Lytechinus pictus: one gene and its partners. The protein of the gene in region 2 interacts with the protein of the main gene of each other region in a pairwise test. Links are inferred from orthologs where the notes say so. Each region holds a gene or a part of one and is shown on either strand. Other genes may lie near its edges.

Region 1 (7,999 bases), on a different chromosome or scaffold from region 2:
CCATTGTGATTAGATTTCCTACTCGACGATTCTAATAGCCCCTCTTCCATCTCCACAAAATCATGTTGATCCAACTCACTATTACCTTCACTTCTATCGTCAATAGAGGGCGCTTGTTGGAACGGACAGCTTGATACATGTGAGTAGTTTGAGGAATCCTCACCGTCGTCCTCCCGGTGGTAAAAATAATTGAAATTGGACACGATTACAGGAACAGGAAGCGCGATCGTCAGTACGCCCGTTATTGCGCAGAGCGATCCTACGATTTTAGCACCTGTACTTTTGGGTTTCATGTCACCATAGCCAACAGTTGTCATGGTGACCACTGCCCACCAGAAGGCATCGGGGATACTCTTAAAGATAGGTTCGCCGTTTTCGTCCGAGCTGTCAGCATCGGCGAAGTAGACGGCGCTTGAGTATAGGACAACCCCAATGCACAGGAAGAATATGAGCAGGCCTAGCTCACGCATACTGGCCTTTAAAGTTCGACCAAGAATTTGTAAGCCCCGAGAGTGCCTCGAAAGCTTGAATATTCTGAAGACGCGAACAAGTCGGATAACACGAAGGATGGCTAAGGACATAGCCTGGCTGTTAGTATCTGTGGATGACTGGGCGATCATGGTGCCCACTTGTATAAAATATGGAAGTACTGCTATGATGTCAATGATATTCATGACGTTTTTTGCAAAGGCCAATTTGCTGGGGCTCGACAGGAATCGAACCAGAATTTCGAAAGTAAACCAAACAATGCAGCACGTTTCGATCACAAAGAACGGGTGGCGGAAGTATGCCGCCAGTTCTGCACTTTTTAAGGCAGCATCTGCTTCCTCCGATGATGTCGTTCTATTGCCTGATTGAGTTGGCGTGGGCACCGTAGTCGCTGCCATAGTCGCTCCACAAGTAGTAACCCCTGATCCACTCTCCGTCATCTTACGCGCGTCTTTGAACTCTGGCATTGTTTCCATACAGAAAATTACAATTGATATAAGGATTACACTTACAGAAATGATCGCTACAACTCTAGCCATTCTAGAAGACTCGGGATATTCAAATAGAAGCCACATTTTCTTTTGCAAGGGATTCGTAGGCAATACTTTTTCCTCATCTTGAATGAAGCCCTCGTCCTCTCTGTACTTTGTCAATGCTCCATCGCCCAGTTCATAGAATTTTATTTCCTCTGTGAAGACATCTATAGGAACATTGACAGGCCTTCGCAACCGTCCCCCACTTTGGTAATAGTACAAAATGGCGTCAAAGCTCGGTCGATTACGATCGAAAAAGTATTCGTTCCGAATGGGATCAAAATACCTGATCCTTCGCTCAGGATTCCCTAGTAAAGTGTTAGGAAACTGGTTCAGAGTCTTGAGGTGTGTTTCGTAGTGGAGTCCACTGACGTTGATGACAACGCGTTCCCATCCAGGATCTTCGCTTGCCATGTCTTCCCCGCTATCACTGCTGTCATCACCTTGCTCAAGGAGTCGAGGTAGAGACCGACAGTTGCTCATAGCGCCAGAGATGTTTCCTCCACTGGGGGTATGAGACATTGACCTTCCGTAGTGCCGTGGGGTGGATGCATACGGGTTACCCGATGCCGCCTCAAGCCCTGCCATTGCCGCTTCCATCCTTGGACTTGCCGTAGGGGGCGCCAAGGAGGTCTTGGGCTGTTTTTTCCTACCCCAGGATCTATTTTGCCTGTTGTTCGAGCGAGACCAGGCAGGGTTTAACCCCCAACGCTCGATCAAATCAATTTTATGGTTGAAAATGGTGGCGGTTGGTGTTTAACAATTAAAGAAAAAAAAAGGAGCGCGCCTAAATACAAGAAGCAACTTAAATTCCGTTGAAAGGGGGCGGCAGGTTGAGCAAATATTAGGGGAAAGGGGACAAAGGGGTGAGGCTGGCTTTCTTATAGTTGCCACCAATCGTCAAATTGTTTCTTTGCTCACGCTGAAAATAGATTAATGATCTCTTGTCGAGATCAGTTCCTTAATGTAAATAAAGCTATGCTAGTTCTGTGCACTGATTACAATATCATCATGTTCATAAGCCAAAGATATACAATTTAAGAGCAAAGATAAATAGTTACCTTTAACAAGCAACTTAAATGATCTCCTAACAGCTACAGAGATGAGTTATGCCTTCTCTTGCAGGTTATTAGTTTTGTACTTACCATGAAAACACCATATGATCTTATACCAAGTTATGGAATTGATTTGGCAGAACAGGAGCTATCTTTCCTAAAGCCTGGATGCCTAAGACGCAAGGAATCAAGGTCAAAGAATTTCAATAAATTTTCAACAACTGAAATTACATCCAAACAGTGACAGACCAGTGGTGCATTCCTTTCAAAATCATCAAAAAACAAGCTTCCCGGAAGTCATTACATATATGTCGGAAGATTTGAAGCATAAATCGTCCACTCGACTCCGTTAAAAAACGATGTCCACTTTCTATATACAATGAGTTGTATCAGAAAGGGTACGAGACATACGTCTATGCATATACATTCAATATCGCCGTGCATGAACGTTTGCTTAAACTCTCCTTGGTATCCCTGTTAGTTTTCCTCGCAGGTTCCCCGGAATCCAACTCCTTGGTTCATGTGAGATCGGTTTCCAATGTTGCTAGCGTTTTGGGTGTCGACCCCTCCCCCTATCAATAACTTGATATGAACACATCCCCATCTCTTGTTTCTTCAACCACAGGCAAGTTACACGGAGGGAAGACAGCCATGAAAGGAGAAACTGCAGTACACTATGTTCCGATCTACCAAAGCTTTCCTTTGATCCGTTCAAAACGAACGGGTACACCAGCAGCCTCTATAATGGCGACGGTGAACTGAAATAGTCGCGAGAGCTAGCATGAACTCTCCTCGTTCAGATAGCTGGCAGCGCCCGGCCTGGACCTCTTGTTCTTTATTCGTTAATCTGAATGGCTATTCGCTGACTTCCAATGCATTGGCTACGACCTGCCAAATGAAGAATCGACCGAAGCGTGCTGGTGTAATTCCACGCCAATGAGCATAATATATGTCGGTCTCACGGCGGTGTATACACTCGCTTTTTTTAATAATACACGCAGGCATCGCCGATGATGTGCGCGTGTTCGTGTGTGTATTACAGTATTGCTATATCTCACGGGGCTCGCATCACTTGTGTGTTCTATTTGAAGAGGCGATTGCGATGACAATGAACAAGGATGTTGAATGCGGAATGAGATGGTCTTAACTCTCTCGTCGCCCATTTTCTTCCCCACTCCTCGCTGTAGCGAAGCGCTCGGGTTAATTACTTGATGTCGTCATCGCGCTAAAACACGTATCGATGTCGAGTTTTCAGAATCATGCGGTTTTTTTTTCATTTTGTCTAATCGTGATACCTCGTGATTAGGCTTACAGAGGGGAAAATAATTGGCGCCGAGCTGGAGTCTTTTAGCCGGGTAGTGTCTTCTTTGGATGTGCTAATTTCTACATGTGATATTGTTCGTGTTTATTGCGAATGGTGACGGTGGGAAGATGAATCGAATACATTGACAAGCGAATCTGTAGGCCTATGTGTTACTAAATATATATTACTGGTTAATGTGATTGCACTAAATATGCTTAAATACCAGCGCCATATATTCATTATCATCATATACCAATAGCTCCATTGCAACCAAACCGATTTTTTTTTACTTTTTTTTTTCCATAAAAAAATCAGTATTCATTGCAAGTAGATGCTTTAGCGCCAAATATATTTTAATCATATCTTACTTACAAGGCGTGACACGTGATGATAACAATGATAATGATAATGCCGGTGGTGATGAAGATTAAACGTTAACAGCGAAAGTGATATGGCATTTTTTCGTGAAGCTCGACCTATTGATAAACAAAAGTTCATCACACGAGTACTACAGTGTAAGCAAAGAACAATTAAGCTGCAAACGAAAAGGAAACTCGCGTTTAAATGGTCGGAATTATCCGATTTATACTGTTTACGATTATAACCTAGTTACAACAATTATGATAATGTGGAGAATGAAAATGGTGATATCTGTGATAATAACTCCAATAATGATATCAATAAAGATATTACAATTCATAACAACTTCATAAAGATAATAGTTATATCAATTTCAGTAAGACTGATGACATCAGCAACCTAGGTAACTATAATTGATTTATATTACGTTTGCGATTTGGATATTTTTTCAAATAAAAGTATCGTGCAAAATCGATTAGGATATATTATAAATGATTACTGTTATAACAAAATATAACGAATTTGTAAAAGTCTTCGAAGATAAAATAAGACCATATAGGGATTATCAAAATGACATCAATAGTAGTCCAAAATAAGAAGGGGATATGAAATGAAAAGATAGTGAAGCATATAAAGAGCTTAATTGCAGAAGGGATTAGGTCAATTTTCTCAATGTATACATTTTTAGTAGCTTCATAAGATGATACCCAAGAAACGATGAAATTCCCATTAAAAAGTGAACAAAAGATTTTTTTGAAAAAGAATATTTAAAAAAATATGTAAACAGGTAGATTTCTTTTATACCCAATTTTATGTTCACATGGTAGGGCATCATGAAAACTTAGTTTCGCATAAAAATATTGCAATATGGGAAAGTAAAAAAAGGTATTTTCTTGGAGTGGACCCTATCCCTTTTGCAACCAAACTCTTATAAACAGCTCATTTGTCAAAATGAGTTCGGTCCATTTTTTATAAATCTTCTTTTTTCTGTCCCGAAAGCTATAGATATTAGTCGCTCTGATGATACCAAAGAAAATTTTAAATTCACATTAAAATGTGAATAAAAGTGGCAAAGAAAAATCACTTTTTTATTCAAAAGAGATTGGATTCATTTCAATTTGCTTGCAAAAGGGATTAGGTCCACAATGATAATTTAAAAAATGACTTTATGTAGAAAAAAGTGAAGACTGGTAAATTTCTTTTATACTTAATTTTATGTTCACATAATAGGAGAGTACACCATGACAATTTTGTCACTCATAAGAATATTACAATACGTGAGAATTAAGAAACATTATTTTTCTTGGAATGGTCCAAAGTAGACCTAACCCCTTTTGCAACCAAACTCTTCATATCAAATTACTCACATACCATGTTACATTCAAATATGATTTCCAAGAAATCCCATCCGAGACAGTCCACAGCTACAGTCTAAATTGCAGGTATTTAAATAAAATCCCGGGATAATGCAAATAGGGACCAATCTGGATTTAAAGTTAATCCCATAAAAAGTAATCTTAAATCTATAATGATTTTGATATAAATCCTTTGAGATATAAAAATCAATCGTATGTATTGTTATAACCATGTTTTAATCTTGATAAATTTTAATATAAATTATTTTAGATTTAAAATGAAATTTTATGATTAAAACTATATCCAGAATTCGATCGGTCCATATCTAAAATTTATCTAGATTTATTTTAATTTCCTGCTGTATAAAGTGTATGGATATTTGTTCCAAAGATTATAATGAAATCGTCTTTCTCATTTTTTACTCATTTTTTGTTCAATAGTCATCTATAAAAAAAAAACCTTTTTAAAGTATACACTGTCAAATTAATTGTAATATTGACATGCACTGTTAGGGTGATTTTCCTTACAATCAAAATAGATTTAACTTAGATTTTCTAAGATTCAGATATACATTTTATTACAATTTCACTTGCTAATTGCTAATTTTCTCCATGTATGCTTAGAACACGAAATTCGTTTTCAAATAGGCTAACACGAGATGAATGGATGGAGACGCTTGGCTATGCACTGGGTAATATTCAGTTTATTACTTATTGATATTATTTTAGAATGCTATGCAAGCTTCTGGTAAATTACATCGTAGCATCCATGCTCAACCTTGAAGTGCAGCAGAAGGACTATAGCTACAGGGTATCTCAACAGATATATACATATATATATATATATACATATATATATATATATATATATATATGTGTGTGTGTGTGTGAGGGTGTGTGTGTGTGTGTGTGTGAAGTATTACACGTACAACAGCTTTGGCAACTCTTTTATTTAAATATTGTGTGAAAGAAATAGATGCAGAGAACAATGGTAGGCGTAGCTTAAATCAAGGTTCCCCAGAGCTATCTACCCTTTGGAAAAATTGGTGATGCCGAAAAAAAAAATGTTTCTGCCGGGAATCGAACCCGGGCCCCAAGCTTTAAACGCCGGTGCCTTAATCACAAGACCACAGAGACGGGTTAGTGGCTAGGGCGACCCCGATCCGATTGACCGTCAGATAGACAGATTTTCGACACTAAACCAATCATAATTTTCTTTGTCGGGTGAAGGTGGGTTTTGAACAATGACAAGCCGCCACGTCCCAGCTGGATCAAAGCTATTGCTTTGATACAGTACACGTATGGGAGAAAGTATTCAAATGTGTGAAGTTATACATGTACAACAGCTTCGGCAACTCTTTTATTTAAATATTGTGTGAAAGAAATGGATGAAGAGAACAATGGTAGGCGTAGCTTAAATCAAGGTTCCCCAGAGCTATCTACCCTTTGGAAAAATTGGTGATGCTGAAAAAAAAAATTTCTGCCGGGAATCGAACCCGGGCCCCCAGCTTTAAACGCCGGTGCCATAATCACTAGACCACAGACACGGGTTACTGGCTAGGGCGACCCCGATCCGATTGACCGTCAGATAGACAGATTTTCGACACTAAACCAATCATAATTTCCTTTGTCGGGTGAAGGTGGGTTTTAAACAATGACAAGCCGCCACGCCTCAGCTGGATCAAAGGTATTGCTTTGATAAAGTACACGTATTATATGGGAGAAAGTATACAAATGTGTATAGTCATACATGTACAACAGCTTTGGCAACTGTTTTATTTAAATATTGTGTGAAAGAAATGGAGGAAGAGAACAATGGTAGGCGTAGCTTAAATCAAGGTTCCCCAGACCTATCTACCCTTTGGAAAAATTGGTGATGCCGAAAAAATGTCTCTGCCGGGAATCGAACCCGGGCCCCCAGCTTTGAATGCCGGTGCCTTAACCACTAGACCACAGAGACGGGTTAGTGGCGAGGGCGACCCCGATCCGATTGACCGTCAGATAGACAGATTTTCGACACTAAACCAATCATATATATATATATATATATATATATATTATAATATTATTTATTTTTCCCAATTTGTTTACCAAGTTATTAGTCTTTATTCCCCAATTTTGACAGATTTTAACCAATAGTTGTGTCATAGTATGTTGCCCAGTGTTGGTTAAAAGTTACGCATTTTACCGAGCTATTTCAAAAGTGTAATAAATTCAATTCTATTTCATCGTCATCATTGTGATCATCATCACCACGCTGCGCTTTGAGCATGTTCAAATAAAAAAACAGAGTAGAAATGCTAACATGAATAATGTATCCACTTTCACCGTGATCACCCTGCTCATCACTGTCATCGCTTTATGTTCCGTTATCATTCCTCTTTCTTAGAGACTACACAAAGTTCCAAATAAAACTACAAGACTATATCCCCCCCCCCTCCCTCCCCCCCCCCCCCGAAAAAAAAGTAATAGCAAAATATTAAGCCAAGTTAGCGAAAGGTCCACATATCTGAATGCTATTTTTAACTTTTAAGGAATGCAGCAATGAATTTTGTTTAAGCACCATGTACCTTGATGTTTTTGTATAGTGTTAGGATATCAATGAGACCAGTCGACTACCAAACGCACGATCAATGGGTCAACTTTTTAGTTCCGATCGAAAATTCGATGGTAATAAAATCTTGAAAGAAAACCCAATAGAATTGTACCGTTGAGAGAATAGCTGCAGAACGAGATCGTTACGTCCCTGCCGCAGTCGCACTTGGCGAGACCGACTCCAGACCGACGAGGTATATTACGTTATTTCAAATGGCGTAAAATATATCGGTTTGGAGAAGGTTTTGTTTGTGTCACTGCACCTTTCTACTATGTCTACTTTAACGTATTGGCATACGTATATTAAAG
Region 2 (7,086 bases):
AGATTTAAGACGTGTATTCACACTTCATAAATTAGCTGTCACTTTCAGATACATACAGACTTTGGAATATCTCTATATTTCATTTATATCTTGACAGCTTGCAAAGAATTTTTTTATAAAGTGCACACCTAGTTACCAATAATGCGTATATCATTTTCATTTATTTGAATGCAGGATAAAAGAGCGTTGTCAATTAAATGTCTTGCTCATTGGCATAGGTGCCGCGGCCGGGTATCGAACCTTGGACTTTCCATCTATAGCCAGGCGCCTTAGATCACTCGGCCACGGCACCTCCACTTGAAAAGAATTGGGGAGATACCTGTTTATGGACAGATAGGATGACACAGAAACGGTTGACAATGAATTAAACAAATCTTTACTTCATCTACAAAGCTTCAGATTTCAATCTGGGATTTTCCCTTGTCACTGATGATTGGTTTTTTTCTCTCTTTTCTCTTTTCTCGTTTTTACCACTATAATCATTGTATTTTCATCTATTCCCTAAAGATTTACTGTACTCAGTGCTTTATTTTTTTGTCAATTTGAAATTTGAATTATATATGTCCCTGTTAACCAAGAATCTCCCACTCTGCACGCTGAATTCAAATAAATTTTGAATAGTGATAGTGATTTCGATGACATATTCAATTTGATTTGCTCCATTTTATTCGGGCCATTCAACTCACTAATTTTTAGGGTAGATTTAGCCTTTACACACACATTTTCACCAGACTAGGGCCCATATGATATTTTTATATTGAAATACAACCACAAATTACTTGAATAAGATCACTTTCCATTTTAACATAGCATTAAAAAAATTATATTAAGAGACGAATAGCAGATAATTTGATAACACTATAGACCATCATCGAGCATCATATTAAAAGAATACACGGGACTCAGAGAAGTATTCTTTTTATGAGTTGACCTAATAAAAAGTAGGCCTTGCCTGCTTCTAACAGTATGCCACATTTCTATGCAAAAGTTCTTCAGAGAATGAGTTAAAAATATCACATTCTTGGGTTTTCTTATGGTTATCTACCCCTTGAGGTTTGCATCAGAATGCCAAGAAACAAACAAAAATGTCAAGCCGTGACTAATAAACATGTAAAACCCACAAACTCTGGCACCTTACGGGCAAGAGAAGACTATGGAGAATTAGAAATGCCTGATGCAAAGAATGATGTGATAGCTATCTTGGATGCAAATGTCTTCTAATCCGTATTATTTTACGCATCGAATAGAGAACACGGTTGACTCCCTGAGCTGATTGAAAAACAACTTAAGATGTTGTTTAGTGAGTTGTAGAGTTTGATCGTATGTCATTAAGAATTCACTGTACACGTGTTGTTATCTGCTTCACTAGATTGATTACTGCATTTTGGTCTCTCAGTGGGCTCCAATATTTGTCGTTGTATTTCTGCCTTTGTTGCAGATTAGCATTAGAGGTTGCAAGGCTCGATCAAATTGCAGGTGTCGAGATGATTTGAAAGGGTTCTGTTATGCATTGCGGAACGTGAGTAGGATGTCTGATAAATTGCAATATTCCTAATGTGCTCCTAGTTGATGCATCTTGTTTATACAGTGGTATACAATTTGAATCATTTATTGGTTAAGCAAATTGTATTTAACTTGTGAGAATTCAAAACAGTTGAATGTTGGTGAATTCTGCGTCTCATATAGCTCATCATTATCATCATCATTACCAAAATCATCATCATCATCAACACCACCATCGTCATCTTCATTATCATCGTCACCATCATAATCATCATCATCATTACACCTCCACCATTTTCATTATCACCATGATCATTCCATTATCACTATCGTCTTCATCACCACCACCATCATCAACACCTACACCACCGCCACTGCCATAATCATCATTGTCTTCTTCACAGCAGTCATTACCACCATCTTTATCACTGTCATCACTATCACCACCATCATCATCATGATCACCACCACCCTCATCTCTACTATCACCATTGTCACTATCATCATCACCACTGCCACCATCATCATCGTTATCATCATCACCATCATCATCATTATCATCATCACTATCATCATCATCATCACCACCACCACTGCCGCCATCATCATCACCATCATTATCATCACCACCACCACCATCATCATCAACATCATTATCATCACCACCATCTTCATCATCATCATCATCACCACCACCCATCATCACCACCTCCACTATTGTCATCACTCTACCATCACCACGACCTCCAACACCACCACCATAAGCATTCATTCCACTCCTCCAACGCCCATGGCAGCCTTAAACCTGACCTCCGATCACCTATCGATCAAAACCTGATTAAGGTCGTGCCATGCATGTCACGTCACCGAGGCTAGAAGTATATAAACTCGAACTAAAGCATCTTGCAAATAGCTTTTAGCGTTTACTTCAAAATTTTTGAATAGTCACTGAAAATGAGCTTGCTATCTGAGAATAAAGTTAATAGTGTATCTTCTTTTTATTGATAATTTTTTGTACATTGCACTACAGAGCTAAATTTAAACAACACTACAGCATCAAGTTACCTGTTTAGGGGATACAGTACAAGTAAAAAGAAAATGATAAGAGATACAGACCAACAATTGTACAGACCTTGTCAGGCAGACACAGAAACCAGGAGAAAGAATTATTTAATCAATACAATACAGCGTATCATTAAATAGCTTTTTTGTTCAACCCCTGGTAATTAGCATACACAGTCTGCACTCTGCAGGCAGAAGTACCCTCTATTATGAGGCCTTGTGTCTTTAAATTTAGCAGCTTTTTAAATGAAGTAAAATTAATGTAATACCCTATCCTTGCCGCAAGCTTAAATCTCTGCGTTATGATTCCAAATGGTGATATATAGTCCATGATATGTTGTTTACTACCTGCTGATGCAATTTAGATGTTTAATGAGGAAAGGAGAAATTTTTTCGACCATGCGGGAAGAGCGGGGCTTTTATGTACTTGAAACCAGCCAATATTTGTTAGATGTAGTTGTTATTTTCATGGTACGGCTAATTGGATCTGATGAGATTAGTTCTGCATTTTGTGGTGGGACTTATCAAAATGTTTCTCCGATGTTTATTGAATGCTTGGTTTTAAATATGAATGCTTATAACTTTGCTCATTTAGGCCTATGTGTATGTGTCGGAAAAAATTGTGTGTTGATGAGTTCAAGAAAAGGGTATGTGAATACTGATTGTGATTATGATATTGGTGGTATTGTTTGAGGTATGTATTATGATTGCATAATTTGGTAAAAACATTTTAACTTAAGAATCGGATGATTATATGGTGATGAGGAGTTGTGATGTTGATAGTGGCATTGGTGGTGGTGATGATGTCAATGTTGATGTGATGATGTTATGATGATGATGGTTGTGGTGGTCATGATGATGGTTGGAATGAAGATGATTATGGCAGTGAAGGTGACAGTTATGATAATGATGATGATGATGATGATGATTATGATGATGATGATGATGATGATGACGATGGTGGTGATGGTGGTGTTGATGATGATGAATACGACGACGATGATGATGATGATTATGATGATGATGACGATGATGATGGTGGTGGTGATGATGATGATGATGATTATGATGATGATGACGATGATGGTGGTGGTGGTGATGGTGGTGATGGTGGTGGTGGTGTTGTTGATGATGATGACGATGACGGTGGTGGTGATGGTGGTGGTGGTGGTGGTGGTGATTATGATGATGATGATAATGATGATGAGGTTATAAAAATGGCATTGGTTATGAAAGTGGTAGTAATGTAAAAATAAAGGAGAAAGTTGTTGTAATTGTTGATGCTGTAAATGGCTGATAAATTGTGGTAATGGCGATGCTGATTATTATGCTAATCTTGAGTTTAATAACTAGTAATTCACTATCATAAGTACTCCCCCATATTAGTGTTTTTGACATTGACAGTAGTAAATAAAATTTCCTTCCTTTTTCTTCTTTTCTTTTCAGCAGCCCTCACCTTCATCACCAGTGTTATCAGACAGATTAGAGGGAACAGGAACCCCGACAGTAAGTACAAAATACCCGCTGCTAAGACTTTAAAGGGGAACTTCACCATAACGCTGTGTTTATTTCAATAAAAACAGACAAATTTTCAAAAAATAGTGGTGAAGGTTGGGCAACAATCCATCAAAGAAAACAAGAGTATCCACCATACCAACAACATCACTTTCAATTTTTTTTTTTGAGAAAATGGCATTTTAAAAGATTGACATCACATGGAGGTGTCTTTACCATCAGAGATCACAAGCCATGCATTATGCATTGATCAAAGGGCATACAACTGTTGCTTTTGACTTCAGGAAAACGGTGTACCTCCACCTACCATACACAGCCTCGTGCAAAAACCTAATGCAAGATCCGGGCACAGAATTTCAGTGCAATCCACCAAATTTATGATTAATCACATTTTCTTCCTCCATTGTGGTTGGGTTTGTTTCCGTTTCCCCCGGCTTCCTGCGAAGTTTGATTCTGTAAGCGACGCCGTCACACCATCGTTCATTTGATTTGTTCAATAGGTTGAAACATTTGATTTCATTATACCAGAACAGCCGATTACACCATGTACATTTCACATACTCCAATCATGTGTATTATGTACACAAGATTTAGCTACTCTGATACAAAAAGCACATTTCAGGGGAGTGAGCGATGTAGAATTTAAAAATCCATGTGAATTAGTTGGGTTGTTTTTTCGTATCACGCTCTGACAATGAAAATTGCTAACAGAGCTATGCAGATGTAGGAATGTATTATATGATACCCTGAAAAAAGTCTAATTACTTTATTTTCCTTGCTTATTGCCAACTAGACATACTTTATAAACTGCAAACCCTTGTATTATTACTGACTAATAAGTCTTTTTCTATATACCAGAAGAAATTAGCACATATTTAAATGTATTAATACAAATAAATCATTGGTAGTCATACAAGTTAGATTTAAATGACTTTGGCATACCCAGTCATAATACTGAAAAATTATAAAATTGACTGTACTCTCTTTTGGAAAATTTTGGAATTGCATAATTTGGAATTTTTCAGGAATTTGAAAAGAATGAGTGTTATCTAGAGTAGATATGAGGTTATTTTTCTTTTTTTTTCATGAACCAAAAAATTGATATCAAGTTTTATGTACGGGAACAGCGGAGCATATTTTCATTCGATTTTTTTGTAATGATAAGTTGATGGCAATTTTCTTTACCTTTTCTCATTTTTATGAGGAATTGTTCCTATTTAATATATATTGTCTCTTCTTAAACTCTTGGTTTTTTTTTGTGTCTCCTTTTTTTTCTCTCTCTCTCTATCTCTCTGTCAGATACAAAATAGAGATACTCAGTGGCAATATGAGGAAATCACATTAGTACGGGTAAGTTTACCATGTTTATTCCTTTTTCTTCTTCCTCTCCTCCCATTTCTTCATCTTCTTCCTAGTTTTTGTCTGTTCTTCTAATGCTCTGGTTTTTTTATCTTCACTTCGTTTTCTTTCTTATTTATCTTATATTTTATCCCCCATCTTCATCATCCATCTCATTCCTTTTCTACTTTTCTTTCTCCTCCTTCATTCTTCTCCTTTTTATCCTTCATCATATTACTTTCATTCTCTCACTTTCTTTGATGTCCTAATGCATTTTTACCATGCTCCATGTCATCTCCAAAGATTAATCACAATCTTATTTTTTTTAATTCAATTGTGAAAAAAAAATCAACCATCACCTTTATATAGGCAACTCCAAATAAAAATCCAATCTGCAATTTAAAAGGGGGGGGGTAGAATTCCTGATGCATGTCCAAGACAATACAGAAAGTCTTGAACAGAGACCAAATCCCCAATTTGAGCAAGAGAAGCTAGACATCGGAGATACAGATTAGTCTCTTTTTCCAGACAGTGTTATTGTCTTCATACTAATCAGAGACCGACTTCTCATGCATCTGTTGCCCCTGGGTTTTTTTTCTTTTTCTACTTATTTTTGAAAGGCCATCAGATAGATTCCATTATTCATAGAGTTATCGATTTTCATAACAACCTCCATCTTCTCATCTTGAATGTTATTTTTAGACCTTCGTTTAAACTCAAATATGCACAAAACCTCAAGCTTGGGGATCAAAATATGACATGGATAATTCCATCTGGTATGATATGCATAATTAAGGCCTCGAAGAAGACATCTGTAATTATCTTTTGCATCGTTTGGCCAGGAGAGAACTAAAAGATAATAGCGAGATGAAATTATTCTGCATTTTGTGGATTATTCCGTGGAGTTTGCTGACATTTTGTCATGAAGAATTTGATCAGGTTTATTGTGAAATTGAGGAGAAATTGTAACACGGGTAATTTCCGAGTTGGTTTAGGGCAGTTTTTTCTGGTTCGAGATGACTTTAGTTGAGCTTCCTTTTTAATAATCTGAAACAGAAAGTTTGTTTTATTAGAATTTTTTTATAAAAATTATGTTTTTTCCTAATTTATCTACTCAATATTGGATTTTCTCTGAATGTTATTGACAGGATTGTCTCCCTTATATATTATCCATGTATGTGTAACATGATACATAAATTTCACATCTTATTTTATTCCACCCCCTTGGACCCCCCCCCCCTCTTTTGCAATTCCGTTCTTTCCCCCCCCCCTCCCCCTTCATTATTCCACCCATTTATCTATCTCGCTCTTTCTCTCCTCTCTATCTCCCCATAAGCTTATTTTCACTCCCTCTTTCTATCATTCACTCATTCATTAATTTCCCTGCAGTGATTTCCCTCCTGCAAATACAATTTTTCAATCACCTTTTCTTATTAAGTATTGATAAATACATTTCTCCTTGCCCATCGTAAAAAAAAAATCATTTCTACATTCATCGACATCAAACCATCGCCCTCCTCCTTTTCCTTTCGTCCCGAGTTGCGAGACTAAACCACTGTGGAATTTGAAGATTGGGAAGAGTAAATAACATTTCATAAATGCCTCATGCACATGGCCATTTCTCTATTTTCTCATTTCTCCATTTTCTCGTTCTCGTCCCCAAATTAC
Region 3 (7,149 bases), on a different chromosome or scaffold from region 2:
CAATTGATCATGAGGCTGTTTTCTACGATTGATTGCACTGATTATTGTATACCATCAATCGTAAAGATCAGCCCCACTGTCGATCGCTAAGCTTTATGATACTGGGTCCGTCTTCTAGGTATGGAATGTGTGCGTGCATAGAAAACATGCCATGATGAATTTGTTGATAATGATGTGTCAGGTTTGTGGATGACAATGTTATATGATGTGTTCAGGGATAGGCTAGTGGTAAAGATACCACATGAAAATTGGACAATAACAAACAGAGAAGGGTGGTGGGAATAAAAAAGTGCTCTTACGCCCGCGTAACCGTGTGCGCGAGCAAATTTTTGAAATGCTTAAAATGACCTGATTCATATGATATTTTGGTCAAAAAGTGATTTTCAGCATTTTACAATTTTGACGCACGCATACGCGCACGTCGTGACCTTTACATGACCTCTGATGACATGGACAGTTGACCCGTCACCTGAAGATGTGATGTAAATATGGTTGATTTTTTATAATTGATAACGAAGGTATGATTGATGTGATTTTTAAAATGAGGACCTTTTGACCTTGAACTTGTTTTATACACATGACATGATAAGTCCCCATAACTGATGATATTTTGAAGAAAATTGTTGATGTAGATTTTGAGATTTTGTGCGAACGAGAAAAGGGCGAAAAAATAAAAATGAATAACAAATAATAAAAAAGAAAATTTGTACAAAATTAATAGTTGATCTGTCGATTGACAGATCACCTAATAACATGAAAAATCAGTATCCCTGCTTTTCTGGGGAAAATGCATCTGTGAGAAAAAATGGATGAATAGCTATTTGGACAAAAATGATGGAAATCATTTTGCACCACACATGGCTATGTATCCATAAATCAATCGCCAATTACATCCAGAGGAAATAAAACTCTTCTAGACCAGCATTCCTTGTATTGCCTCTAAGGATAAGATTTCACAGACTATTACACCTGCTCCTTTGGAAGAAGAGGAGACTGGATAACTGGAGTTAGGGGAGTCTGGGATAATCCCAAGATAGGCATTCAGAGGTCAAACAAGGTCAAATATGAGATATGGTTTTCACCTGGTAAAATAAACCATATGCCTTGTTTAATAAAAACTCACTTCTATTGTAACTTCTATAAAAAAAATTGATTTGGATTGGCTGCTGAGCACTGTTACCATGGTAATTGACATAATGGCAGACTGGCATTTACAATTATAGTTGTAGCTATTTGCGAAAAGGGGGTTCCGGGGGAGTGTTTCATGGAAGGTTTTGTACTTGATTTTTGCTGACTTCTTTACTCTCAGCCAATCAGATGCAAGTATTTGCAGTAGCTTCTTATAATCTGTAAAGTGACAATCATGGTTATTTCCAATTTGTCTAATGCCAATTCGTCCAATTGCCAACTTGTCTACTATCATTTGGTCTACCATCAGTTTGTCCACTCACCACATGGTCTACCCTCATTCAGTCTAATGCCATTACGTCTAATAACCAGTTGGTCCAATAGCCATCTAGTCCATATACCATACATGTGGTCTATTAAACTAAAGTGTTAATTATGCAAAATGAATGAAAAGAAAATGGGTATTAGACCAACTGGTTATTAGACAAGATGGTAATAGACGAACCGGGGATTAGACGAACCGGGGATTAGACGAAGTGATGATTGGACCAAATGGTTATTGGACCAAATGAAGGTAGACCATGTGCTGAGTGGACGAATTGGCAATTTACCATGTCATTCACTGAGCAACCTTTTCAAGAACCCTGCCTTGCATGAAGTGCAATGTTTGATGTCATTGATTTTCACTACATACATTTTATTCATGTATGTAATCTGCTCTGGGAGCCCTGCACAACATATGGAAGACTTCTACTTTTCAATGTTACAGTGTCTAGACATGCATATTTGCATGGACAGTACAGTGTACATGAAGGCTTTCAATAAGTTCTGTACATGTGATTTTGTGCCTAAATTAATGCTCTAACTCAATTAAATGGGCTTACCTACATGTACACGTACATGTACTGTATGTCTAAACATTTTTCAACTCATACAGCCATTGTAGTTTGTGCAAGTCAAAATCAACCCTATTTTTACCATGTTTATTTTGACAGTATTCCACTATATCGAAGTAAAATATTTTTTACAAAAAATCCTTTATTACATGTACATCTCATTATTGTACAAACCTCATCTCTGTCCTCGTCGGTTGTAGCTCCGTGCGTTGCTATGGTTACTGATCGTTCTACATGAGAATGTCTTTTGCTGTGTCTCCTATTTTCTCCATCATTCTCTGAATCCTCTCGGTTTCGATGTCGCCGACCACGTCGCCCCCTGTGGCCACGCTCGCTGTCTTCGTCCGTGTCCCGGTCACGGTATTTGTTCTTCGAGCTCTTACTGCTCCTTGTACTTTGGTTCTGTAGGGGAAATCCACACAATTATCAAGGATTCATGTTGGCCTTTTAATCGTGAAATAATTTTAGCAAATTAGCTTTTTTTCAAAATCTTTACACATACCTGTAGGCCTACTAGGGCTGAATCAAAGCATACATGTACTACCGTTCAAATGACTGCTATTAAAAAACATAACCGTTTTGCCATTTCGTAAATCATAACTGTATAGGGGAAAAAAAATCCCTAAGAGTTGCTGGAATTTCACATTTCACATGTACTCATCCTTGAATCATTCATTTTGAACTTGTTTAGGATTCTTCTTCTCAATTTGACCAAAAAAATATAATTCCATGATGGAGTGTAAGGGTAAGTCCATGAACCTTTACTTTACCATAATTGAAATTAGCAAACTGAATTTGAAACTGTGACTGCAATTATAAGCAATTTGTTAAAAACCTATTCTAGTACCTGAGGCTGCGGAGTAACTGGGAACCCCCCATTATCATCAGCATTTTCAGGAGCACCGTCGGTATCCATTTTCAATGTTTTGGCTCCAGAGGGCGGTGTTCCCGATCCCGTGTCAGTCTTGATGAATACGGCAGTGACCGTCAGTTTGAATGATTATCTCTGCATCTGGAGGGAAAGACAAGAAAAAAAAAGGTGGACAGTCTTTTATTTGCTGATTTGGAATACAAAAGAACGGGGGAGCATTTCATCAATGTTTGTCACCAGGCAAGTTGTGCCAACCGTAACTGTTGCTAGCTATGGTAACTGTTGGATAATGAGAACTTTATGACAAAAATTAGCGATTATCACTACAATTCTATGACATTTGCTCCGGCAACAATTGCTCCGCTATCATCAATTCCACAAACTATTCAAATGACCATTTTCAACACTGGATTTAATACTTAACACAACCCTAGCCTAACCCTAACCCTATTAATATAAGACCCTATTGCAACCCTCACCCTATTATGAAATAAAGAACGGAGCAGGTGTCGCTAGGACAAATGTTGTATCACTGCCACAACATCCATGTAACAGTATTTATACCTTTTTTTATATAAAATTCCCAGGAATTGCAAAAGAAAACCAGCAAAACAGACACTGGAGTATGCAGTGTGCATAGAAAGTAAAGTCGAAAGCAAAAATCATGATAATCTGAATTGACATCCATGTGGCTGATGTTATGTCAGAGTTTCGAATGTTGAATCAACCCCTACACAGTACTTGACCCAAACAGCTGGTCATGTGACCTGTTTATAAGCTGCACCAATCCCATGAGCCCCTGCACCAGACATTTAAGCTTCCAATAATATGGAGGCGTATTCAGACCAACTTGTTCGAGAATATCAGACCTCTGGTGGGTGTTTCATAAAGCTGTTTGCTCTACGGCGACCGTACGGCGAGTCGACAACAGTCGTTTAAACATTTTTGTACCAGCTGCATACAGGTGATTTGAATTAAAATTAATAAAATGGCTGTTTTCGACTCCATGAAGCCCCCCCCCCCTGGATCTGGAAATTTACTCTCTGATCTACAGCACACCTATCATAAAATATCAGGTATTTTTGGCAGCAAGAAAGCAAATATTTAATGTACTGCAATGTGAAAGGGATCTTCTCTGTGCAATATACACTGTAGGCCTACATGTATATTGGTGATTTATATATATTGGTGGCGATTTTTTACCTGATTGCTATTAAAGAAAGCATGAATGCTTGTAAGCAAGCAACCAGAGGACCGGTGGCTTAATGTCCTCTCCGAAGGACCTGTTACTGAGGATTGATGCCTTACCAAAGGGCACTAGCGCACCAAGTGAGAATCGAACCCGGGGTACTGGAAAACGAATGCCCCGCTCTACCGACTGAGCTACCGCGTCTCCTCTGCGCTTTGTAGACTAGTGCAATTGTACAACCCACAATGTATGAAGGCATAACCTCATAATTTTTACATACATGTAGTGCAGAGTCTGAAAGGAGACTAGATTCACTCATGTGTGGCTATTCTTATTTGACACAGGCAGAGAAAATGAAGTCTAGTTTTCACCCTACATGTACATGGCAGTATAATTTCTTCAAGTGTCAAATTTGAGTCTGCGCTTTGTAGACTAGTGCAATTGCACAGCCCACAATGTATGGGTGAATGAGTGAATGTGTAATCATGTGAACAATCTATGCTCGAATACTGATGATGCAGTATATCCCGTGGGACTCTACCCATCAATCCAGCTATAAAGTGCATTCTCCCCCAACTGAATTAATGAAAAACAACTTTTTTACGCATGGAAAGTATTCGTATCAATCACGGGGAGAATTCTCCATCAAAGCCTCGATGAACTGAGCAGTGTCAAAATTAAATTCACAAAAAAATAAAAATCTAAAGTGTAGTTGGCACTTTGTTTTTCTTTCACAATCTGTAGTTTTCATTGTGACATTGGGCAGTTACCCAAAGCCCCCCCCCCCCTTAAAAACCTGCACGTAGATGCACATACTTTTAATCAAACCATAAAATTGCTTATCAATATAATCCACAAAAATTAACTATTTTTCATACTACCAGTATAATATTTCATATGATTCAGTGTAAAAAAGGAGCAACACAATTTGTTCCACAATGTGCTGCACTCGACCCAGTGAGGTGAATGGGTACTGAGCGCCGGTGATGGTAGCTTGAGCCATGGATCTACTAGTAGGTCCATGCTCGAGATTAAGCCAGGGTAATAATAGCAGCGCTTTGTATCCTCAGGCAAAAAGCGCTTTATAAATAAATAAATTATTATTATATTAATGGAAGAACTTGAGTTATAATGTAAAATGCAAGTCCTGCAAGCTTCTTGGTAGATGGGTACAACTGAATACCCAGCAACGGAGCCCTGCCATGGAGCCAAGCCATTGATCTGGACATCAGAGATCCTGATCAATGAAAGGTCTTGACTTCACCTATCTGGTTCCCGAGATATTTGCCCCGATACAATTTCCCACTACGTGCTTGTCAGGTATCAATGACTTGCATTGCATTCTTTTTTGGTAGCGAGTCCTAAGGGTGATCACAGGATTGCAGTCTTTGTAGTTTTCCACACTGATCTCTCTTCTTGCTCTTTATCTCTTTTCCTCTCTCCTTTCCTCTATTTTCCCTTCTCCCCTTTTCCTCAATCGTCCCTTCTCCCTTTCCTTTATTTGCCCCCTTTCTCCTTCCTATATTTGCCTCAATACAATTTCCCAATACATGCTTGTCAAGCATCAATGACTCGCGCCCCATTCTCTTTGGTAGCTACATGTAGTCCTAAGGGTTATCGAAGGTCTGTTTTCTCCTTAGTTTACCACACCAATCTCATTTTTGTCCCCTTCCCTGACTCTCTTTTTCTCTCCTTCCCTAAAACTTCCCTCCTCTCCTTTTCTCCAAATGTACAGTGTAGAGCATCTGGAATACAAGAGATGATCGAATGGATACGTTTCTATATCATCCTTTGGCAATAATCTACATTTACCACATTTGCCACAAAAGGACCCCAGCCCTCACCCAGGTGATGGAATTGGGTACCTGGCAGGAAACGTGTACATGTGTTGGGCCTATCCCTTGAAATGCTTGTGTGCTGTAAAATAGCTTGCCAGGCAAAAAACCAGAGATTAATATATTCAACATCATTTGGAAGCCCAGAGATGTTTTAGATGAAATAATTAATATGATAAAATGCACAAGACTGGAATAGCATCTCCAATTTCTCTGTGATAGTGAAGATCATTGGTAGACCCCATTTCAAGATGTACAGTATTGTAGGTCTGAGGAGGTGGACTATTGAGGCAAACTAGGGACAGTCAAACGTGAATTCATTGAACACACTGAGCAATATTGGAAGATAAAATGAGGCTAGTCTGCAGGCGCAGACCCTTCTTTTTTGCATAATTCGGAGTCTGAAGTAGTGAGACTAGATTCACTATACCGTGGCTGGCTCTGAACCTTTGGCGTCTAGTCTTTACTCTAGACCTGTTATTGGTTAATGTGTCGAAAATAGGTCTGTGCTTGCAGACTATGCTGACACTTCTGTTCGATCATGTAATTATCCATGGCTGGAAGGGGAATCGACCAAGGCAATATGAGAGGGCAGGGAGAGGGAGCATGAAATTGAAATCCTAAATCAATAGAATCAATCCCACTCCTGACATTTGTAAATTTGATGTCATATGAATGATGAGGCTTTGCAATGAGGCATGCCTTGAAGGGCTACAATCTCTTGGAGTGCTCACACCATGCTTGAATATTTTTTTTCGTGCCTGCCCCCTCCATCCCCCCCCCCCCCCTTTCCATCCCCATGACTAGTCTGCGGGCACAGACCCATTTTCGACACTTTAACCCTTGGTTTTCACAATTCGCATACTGCATAATGCAGAGTCTGAATTGGTGAGACTAGATTCACTATGCACTGTGGGTGACACACACAGAGTCATTGGAATCTAGTCTTCACTCTAGACCCATTATTGGTTGAAGTGTCAAATATGAGTCTGTGCTTGCATACTACCCATGACTATTCACAGATAGAGTGACAGTTTTTCTGGCATAATTAATGGTAAAGAAATTTAATTGGCTTTAATATGTACACTGTCTGTACAGTATGTAGGCCTACATGTACATATATGTATGTATCATACAGTGTAGTAAAATCTCAGTACATTATTTTCACCCATTTTTAAAGGTACATGTAGAATCTGTGAAATAACAGAGAAGGGGGAGACCCCCCCCCCC

What was found.
Region 1: the proteins of disks large homolog 1-like (region 2) and potassium voltage-gated channel subfamily A member 2-like interact in binary tests that used the Drosophila melanogaster proteins (3 or more experiments, as listed by UniProt). The link is inferred for Lytechinus pictus from reciprocal best matches to the Drosophila melanogaster genes dlg1 and Sh.
Region 3: the proteins of disks large homolog 1-like (region 2) and vang-like protein 2-B interact in a two-hybrid assay, tested with the Drosophila melanogaster proteins (3 studies listed by BioGRID). The link is inferred for Lytechinus pictus from reciprocal best matches to the Drosophila melanogaster genes dlg1 and Vang.

Annotation. Positions count from the first base shown.
Region 1 is NC_087253.1:9,708,622-9,716,620, forward strand, and holds the start of potassium voltage-gated channel subfamily A member 2-like, read right to left. Parts: upstream 3,016-7,999; 5' UTR 1,623-3,015; coding exon 1-1,622.
Region 2 is NC_087260.1:18,803,677-18,810,762, forward strand, and holds the start of disks large homolog 1-like, read left to right. Parts: upstream 1-4,014; 5' UTR 4,015-4,071; intron 4,072-5,379; 5' UTR 5,380-5,430; intron 5,431-7,086. UniProt on the Drosophila melanogaster protein: During embryonic development, some isoforms are essential for proper neuronal differentiation and organization. Required for cell polarity; maintenance of apicobasal polarity.
Region 3 is NC_087252.1:12,409,462-12,416,610, forward strand, and holds the start of vang-like protein 2-B, read right to left. Parts: upstream 3,039-7,149; 5' UTR 2,941-3,038; coding exon 2,872-2,940; intron 2,427-2,871; coding exon 2,199-2,426; intron 1-2,198.